2 linked regions of the Xenopus tropicalis genome follow. The protein of the gene in region 2 interacts with the protein of the main gene of each other region in a biochemical or structural test. Links are inferred from orthologs where the notes say so. Each region holds a gene or a part of one and is shown on either strand. Other genes may lie near its edges.

Region 1 (3,570 bases), on a different chromosome or scaffold from region 2:
GTGCTGCATGTGCTGTGTTGGGGGGTTGCAGCTTGGGTGGTGGCTTTTACAGCCAAAGACACACACAGCATGGTTGTTGTGAATGTCCTGCCCCTTAGACTCCCTATCTCTGTCTGGCTCTGTCTTTCTTATCCTGCTTCAATTGAAAACCAAGCCAATGCCATACACATTGCATGGAAGCTGCAGCATCTCCTCTGCCAGGTGTAGAACAACCCAGTCCTTAAACCCAGTGACCCAGTCCTTCAACACAGTTTAGGTGGTGTTGGAGGGTTTCCAGTGGACTTGACAGTATTGGCTTATAAGCAATTTGACTGGGAGGGGAGTGTAGGGAACCTTGCTAAAGCAGATCACTCTATTTGTCAGGGGCTGACTTTGCGCCCTTTTGGTATATCAGTCATACTCTATTGCTACCCCTGCTGCCATAAGTCTAAATAGCAGTGCAGTGAGCTTTGCTATATATATGCATCGCATTGTTTTGGGGTAGACTCTTGCTCAATAAATTTGGTTACCTCTCTATGGCCCTTTAAAAGAAATATGTTCCTGGCAGGGGAGAGTGGGGTATAAAAGTGGAACCTAGCAAGACCAAATTATTTTTGGAACTATGTAGAATGCTAAGGCATAAACTCATAGCCAGAGTTGTGCCACAGTGCCTGCATTTGGTATGAGGGTCCCTGATGGACACATTTGGTCCTGCTTGGTGTCTGCCCTTTGTAAATGTGCAACTGTTGTGCTTATGCTGCTTTTGTGGGGCCGTGCTCTAGACTCTCTTGCCCACCTAGTTTCTCCCACAGCCAACCAGTACAATAGATGCAAAGGAACTATTTTCCTGGTGTTCGACTTTTGTGAGCATGATCTAGCAGGCTTGCTGAGCAATGCTCATGTCAAGTTCACGCTCTCCGAGATCAAGAAGGTAATGCAAATGCTGCTCAACGGCCTCTACTACATTCACCGGAACAAGGTGAGCAAGTGCTCCATTCTCTTCCCATCCTGGGCATTTACTGTTCTTGTAGGACCTGTGTCTAATGGACTCATGCCCACAGATCCTGCACAGAGACATGAAGGCAGCAAACGTACTGATCACCAGGGACGGAGTGTTGAAACTTGCAGACTTTGGGCTTGCCAGAGCATTCAGCCTTGCCAAGAACAGCCAGCCAAACAAGTACACCAATCGCGTGGTTACGCTCTGGTATCGGCCCCCTGAGCTACTCCTAGGTAAGGACGGTCATGTGGTTATATGCACTAATAAAGTCTGAATCCCCCAAAAAGGGAAGCTGTCGGGTCATAACATTCATGTCTGATGGAAGCCATAATAATAGTCTTTGCAATTGATCCAGCTCTGATGCAGGATATACTGTTAGCTAATGTATATCTTAAAGGGGACTTTAACTTTTAGCATGTTTATAGCAGCTTTTCAGTAGGTCTTCATTTTTTATTTATTGTTTTTGCTTTCCCCTTCTGACTCAGCTTTCACATGGGGGTCACTGACCCCAGTAGCCAAAAAACTATTGCTCTCTGAGGCAACAAATTTATTATTGTTGTTACTTTTTATTATCTTTCTAGTTAGGACCCCCTTTATTCATATTCCTGTCTCTTTCAAACCTTTGCCTGGTTGCTAGGTTAAATTGGGTCCTAGCAACCCAATAGCTGCTGAAATTCCAACTTGAAGAGCAACTGAACAAAAAAAACTAACACAAATGAAAAAACAAAAGTCAATTTGCAAATTGTTTCAAAATAGCACTCTGCATTAAATTAAAAGTTAATTTAAAGATGAACTACCCCTTTAAACAGTGTGGATAATATTTTTCCCATTTTCTGCTTGTAGGAGAGCGTGATTATGGTCCTCCCATTGATTTGTGGGGAGCAGGGTGCATCATGGCTGAGATGTGGACCAGAAGCCCCATTATGCAGGGGAATACGGAGCAGCATCAGCTAACACTCATCAGCCAATTATGCGGTTCCATCACACCAGAGGTGAGTTTTAATGAATTGCTCTGGTCCAGGATCATATCTAGGACTAAGTGGTCTCATTGGTCGTGGGATAACTAAACTAAAAAAAAGCAATTTACATTAATTATGTTTTATTCAGTTTCAGAGCTATTTAAGTATTTAAAGTTTTTAACTGCCAATAATGAATTTTTTAACAATGCTGTCACCTGCTGGTTGGTTCCTGTAACTGTTGTATTCTGATGTTGCTCTGCTTAGGAAAGAGATCAGAACCCTTAGATATCTGTAAATCTAATTAAACACCTAAACCGGATAGTTTATTTTATTAATATATTTTAGGTCTGGCCAAATGTGGACAAATATGAGTTGTACCAGAAGCTGGAACTGCCCAAAGGCCAGAAAAGAAAGGTGAAGGAAAGGTTAAAGGCTTATGTGAAAGATCTCTATGCACTGGACCTTATAGACAAGCTGTTGGTTTTGGACCCGGCTCAGAGAATCGACAGTGATGACGCCCTGAATCATGATTTCTTCTGGTCTGACCCGATGCCTTCTGATCTGAAGAACATGCTCTCTACTCACAATCAGTCCATGTTTGAATACTTGGCACCTCCTAGGAGAAGAGGCGGGCACATGCCCCAACAGCCAGCCAATCAGGCACGGAATCCTGCTGCCACAAACCAATCAGAATTTGACAGAGTCTTTTAAAGACATTCTTTATTATTTATTGGGAGGAAAAAAAAGACTTTTTTTAAAAATATATATATATTTTTTTTAATTCCTTTGTAAGTAAGCCTGTATAGTATGGGGAATAAGGACTAGCTGCATACTTTTGTTAGCATAATGATATTCAGAAGCGTGGCATTCGTGAAACAAAACTTTTAACTGTGATACTTAATCTAAAACTCTTGCTACCATGCTGATACACACTGGTCAGTGAATCGAAAGTTTTCCGAACAGCTTTCTGTGCTGCTGTACCTATGTACTTGATAGGGAATGTAAATAAAGTTTTATGTTCTCCTATTATTTTATGGCTTTCTTTCTTGCCATTTTAAATTATTATTAACATTTATTTATAAAGCACCAACATATTCCGCAGCGCTGTAAATAATCTGTTATTTCCATGGAACATAGGTTGTGTTCTCCACCAGTGTTTTTCAGCCAGCACATGCTGGCCATGCTGTTTTATTGGGAAATACAGGTAAAGTTTGAATAAATCATGGGCCCGGATTCTCCAGGCAGACACTGACTAGTGATGAGTGATAACATGCTGCCTACCCTGTTTCCACATTTTGGGGGATGGCCATTTTATGTATAAAACATACATTGGTTTGCTAAGTGGCCTAGTCCCTGCCCATAAATTGCTTCTACAGATATTCAGCCAATCAACTAATCATGTGATCCAATTGTTACTGAGTGGGCTACAGTTGAAACAGGGTCATCCATTGATAAGAATTGCCATGTTTGTGTATAAGGCCAGTTTGTACATATATTTGACTGGACGACTAGATATTCCAGAATGCTTTGGGCCTTTCCTAGTGGGGGCTAAGATTTATTATACCCCAGTTCTTCTGTCCCAAAACACTGGAGCACATTTAAAAACGCTGTGCAATATCCAGTAGAAACCAA
Region 2 (4,466 bases):
GCAGGAAGTGTTCTCATTTATCCTACTTATTTTCTTATTAATTATTTTATAATCCATACAGTCTTAGATTACATAGGTTAAAAACAGATATCAGTTACCAAAATATACTCTAACACTTTCTTTACACTGCTGACTTTCATCAGATCAAATCTTTTGTTAAACTGGCAAATTCACCCCATTCAGTGAGGTCCCCAAAAAGCGGATCTCTATTCACCCATACCCTGGGCCGAATTGGGCTCTGGTCATTGCCCCTGGGGCAAACAAACGCATCATACAGTGATGCCTACATACACAAGCCAATAAGCTGATAACTCGATCTGGAGGGACCACGTCAGCAGCTTCAATCAGCCTGTGTATTGCCAGCTTTAGGGTAAGTACCTAGACTCAGTCGTCAGCGATAGATCTCTGCTATTGTGGGTGACAAACCGCTCCGAAAAGGCAACAATAGGAGTTGCTTGTGAAAAGCCCCTCTGAACCACTCCATGGGTTCTTACCCTTATGGGTGAAGACACATGGAGCTACTTAGTAGCAACCACTTGTCACAGCTATTAAACACCAGAAAATACCCTGCCATAGACAATACTGAGACCTGCCTCTTGTAAAAAATACATAAAGGCAATTATCAGTAAAAAATCAGCATTGCCTATTGTATTAACCGTGACAAGTAGCTGCTACTAGTAGCTCTGTGTGTCTTCACCCATAAGAGTAAATATATATATATATATATGATCCGGTGCGGTATTGAACTGATTAGCAACTGGGCCACATGAACGGATACTTCTCACGGCTACTAAACACCAGAAAATACCCTGCCAAAGACAAAAATGAGAACTGCCTCTTGTAAAACACATGTAGAGACAATTATCAGTAAAAGATCAGCATTGCTTATTTTAGTAGCTGTGACAAGTAGCTGCTACTAGTCGCTCTGTATGTCTTCACCCTAAGGTGGCCATAAATGATCCTGCGCAGTATTGAACTGATTGGCAACTGGGCCACATGAACAGATACTGTACAAAGGGTCATCCATGGCAGTCACCTTTATATTGTTATCTTCATTTGGAATGAGAGCACAAACAGAAAAGCAGGAAGTGAAAAAGAGACGCAGCTTTCTCATCTGCTGAAGCACTATGCACTGGTGGAAATAGTAAAATGGCAAATGAAGTTTTCCCTGCTAGATTAATGAACCGACAAATATCTGTCATGAGACTGACTTGGTAAAAATGATTTGAGAGGAAATGAGTGGGTGTTGTGGTTTCTCTAACTTGCCTACCTGTCAATACCCAAGCACCCACCCACATGTGGCATCAGCAGGTACATTAAGAGCTTAAGACTGAAATGCAAAGATGTTGCAGGCAGTGTGGTTGATGATAAAGCAGTGTGGCTAAAAATGGACAAACTGCCCCAATAAATATAAGTATGTTTGGCCTCCTTCACATTCAAAACTTCTGTTTTATAGCACTGCGGAATACAATGGCATCTTACATGTTTATGTTAATAATAATGTGTAAGAAATGGATATAAACCATGCTATATACAGAGGTTTCTACACGTGCTACAGTTCTTGCCAGCCTAACAGCACATCCCATTTTATCTCTATAGAGTTGCCCAGAAAATGAATGTCTGTGTGATTTCCGTGAAACCAGCAGAAAGGCATTTACATTCCAACATAAATTTTCCCTCTGAAAATGGAATCCAGCAGAGTGGTGTGTAAATCTGTGTCATGGCATGATATGAAGCTCTGCAGCATGACTGAGGCCTCCCTGTAATAAGTACAGCCCTGAGGTAAATTGCCCTACTACATAGGATAATAAAAATGATGATGGAGGCTGAGAGGATTAGGCAATGATTTAATTGTGTGCATTGCATGATATGCTGGCAGCCAAGCCACAGGTGTTCAAAGCAGAGAAAGGAAGTGACAAACACACCACATTATTTTGCTATCTTCTTCCCTCACTTTACTACAGCTCAGCTTCCTGGGTGGGGGGCGGGGAATACAGAAGTTGTTGGTTTTTTTTTTTTTTTGCCTTCTTGAAAAAAAAATAGTAAGTTGACAGTACATGAAACCGGAAGCGACCTGAGCAAAACAGCAATAGTAGAAAGGGCTTCCGTCAGGCACCAATGGCCCAACTACAATGGCACTATACCCAGTGCCCCCCATTGATATATATATGGTTGTCTCTCCTATTCTGTGGCCCAAATCTACTTGGCTTTCGTTTAGCCTGTGGGCCCCCGGCTACTGAACTACAACTTCCAAGATATCAGTGTTTCCTGGGGGTAATAGTTAATAACAGCTGGAAGGCCGCACGTTAATCAAGAAGTGTTCTCGGTGTAACCTACATCTACTGCAATATATATATATATATATATATATATATACACACACACAGAGAGAGAGATAGATTTCCTGTCAGTCCTGTGTGCAATAAGCGAGCAGCTCCAGGCGCGATCTCTGGCTGCAGGAGCCCATTACATTCCAGTCTGGGGAATCTGCTCCATGGCACCGTGTTTATGGAATGGGAGCGTCGGGGCAATAAAAGCCAATGCTGACCCTGCACGCATGATATACAAACAGGGCATAGGAAGGGGGAGGGACACCCGCTATAGCACCCACCGTTTACACATAAAGGCGCCTCCCGTGGGTCCGAGGACTGCAGAGCGATGAGCAGCGATGGAGAGGTGGGGGGCAGCTCTGGGGAGAGCCTTCAGCTGATCTCTGAGGTGAGGGGGCTGTAGGTGACACCAGGCTGTGCAGTCTTCCTCGCAGCGGGGCTCAGCACCGTATCCCTCCTCCCGCCTAACCAGCCTGCCCCACCCCCAGCAGTGTGTGCAGGTTACAGCAGCACCGGGATGGGGCCGTGGAAACCTTCTTCCTGCAGCGCAAAGAGGTGCAGCACCGTGCGTGATTTCTCCCCTTCCGTGTGGGTGCTGCTGCTAATGTCAGTGCGGACTCGGAGGTAATAATGCGCCCCCTGCTGGAATGCCATTGCATTCTCTCCCCGTGTGCTGCAAACCTGGCTGCCTTAGTTCTAGGGCGCTCACTAGTATGAAGGTGAGCTGTGTCACCTCAGTGGGACGGCCATTAGCAAGAATGCTGTGTACTGTGAAATGTTGGTAATAGTGAGGCAGAATGGGATAGCAAAACTGAAAACTAAGGGTAATACCTCAGTGACATTCTCTGCCATCTCACCAGAAACGTGATAACTGCCTACAGACCTGACACTTTAATAAAGCCTTCAGAAAGGTTTTTAAACACTCATAGCGACCCTGCCCTAAATATATCTTTGCAAAAGTAACAACAGGAATTGCAAGGGGTGGCACAGTAAGATCATGTGCACACAAGTGCTGGAAATCATGGTGACTGCACTGCTTGTGATCCAGCATCCCCCCTAGCTGTATAAAAGGCTCCCCCCATCATAATCCATTAAGAGGAGTCTCCCACATCATCACTTCAGCCCTCTCTGGTGTATTTTGTCCTACTTTTGCCCCACTGGAAGCCAACTTTTTTTTAAACCTGGGAAACCATTACATTTGTTAGAAAAGCGGCCCAGGTGCTATTTATTTTTTATTTTTTTGGTCCAGGTGATCTTTTCACTTCTCATTACCTCCCATTCTCAGGCTACTCTAATCTCCTTTTACCCAATACTGAAGTCAGGCCTGGTACCTCAGTCCTCAGGGCTGTGGAGTTGATACATAAATCCTTCAAGTCCGACTCCTTAGTTTATGGTACCTTGACTCCGACTCCTGGTACCTAAAATTGCTTTTGACTACAACTCTGGACCCACAAATCTATCTCCACAGCCCTGGCAGGGCTATGGAGTCCACACATAAATCCTTTGACTCTAACAGCTCAGTTTATGTTCCTCCGACTCCGGGTACCCAAATTTGCTTCCGATTCCATCCACCCTGCCAGTCCTGCAAGGCAGCAGTTCACTGCTGTGCTGCTAACCAATGAGCAGCTTATCCCCCTGTGTATGGGGACCTCCAACAGCTCTATCCAACTGTTCTCTGACCAAAAATCGACTGTCGATCAGGCAAGTTTGGTTTTTTTAGACAGATCAGGGACCGCATTGGCTCATGGATGCGGTCCTCACTCCAACCACTCCTATCTCTGTTGTTTTAATTAAGCCTGATAGCACCCACTTTACGTGGGCATACTGGGGAAAAATCTGCTTTTTTGGGATATCGCCAAATGAGCAAATCTTATAATGTATGGGCACCTTTACCCAAGACAAATCTTTCATTGATTCTACAATAAAATGGTAGATGCCTTCGACAGATAGAAATGTACAATGCACTTGTCTTACACAGAACATGTGGTGGCTTATTACTGGTTGCTCTTCTGGCTAAGATATCAGCTTCTGTTTTTTTCCAGACTTTAATAAGACTCAGTTTCTTTCTGGCATGTCTGTTATTTATATTTATGGAAGTATTACCCATTGCCATTTAAAATGGCTTTAGTGACGCTC

What was found.
Region 1: of the proteins of mbp (region 2) and cdk9, one has a biochemical effect on the other in vitro, tested with the Homo sapiens proteins (2 studies listed by BioGRID). The link is inferred for Xenopus tropicalis from reciprocal best matches to the Homo sapiens genes MBP and CDK9.

Annotation. Positions count from the first base shown.
Region 1 is NC_030684.2:24,559,167-24,562,736, reverse strand, and holds the end of cdk9 (cyclin-dependent kinase 9), read left to right. Parts: intron 1-761; coding exon of another isoform or gene 762-779; coding exon 780-958; intron 959-1,040; coding exon 1,041-1,212; intron 1,213-1,822; coding exon 1,823-1,971; intron 1,972-2,283; coding exon 2,284-2,649; 3' UTR 2,650-2,965; downstream 2,966-3,570. UniProt on the Homo sapiens protein: Protein kinase involved in the regulation of transcription.
Region 2 is NC_030682.2:98,824,985-98,829,450, reverse strand, and holds the start of mbp (myelin basic protein), read right to left. Parts: upstream 2,807-4,466; 5' UTR 2,612-2,806; intron 1-2,611. UniProt on the Homo sapiens protein: The classic group of MBP isoforms (isoform 4-isoform 14) are with PLP the most abundant protein components of the myelin membrane in the CNS. They have a role in both its formation and stabilization.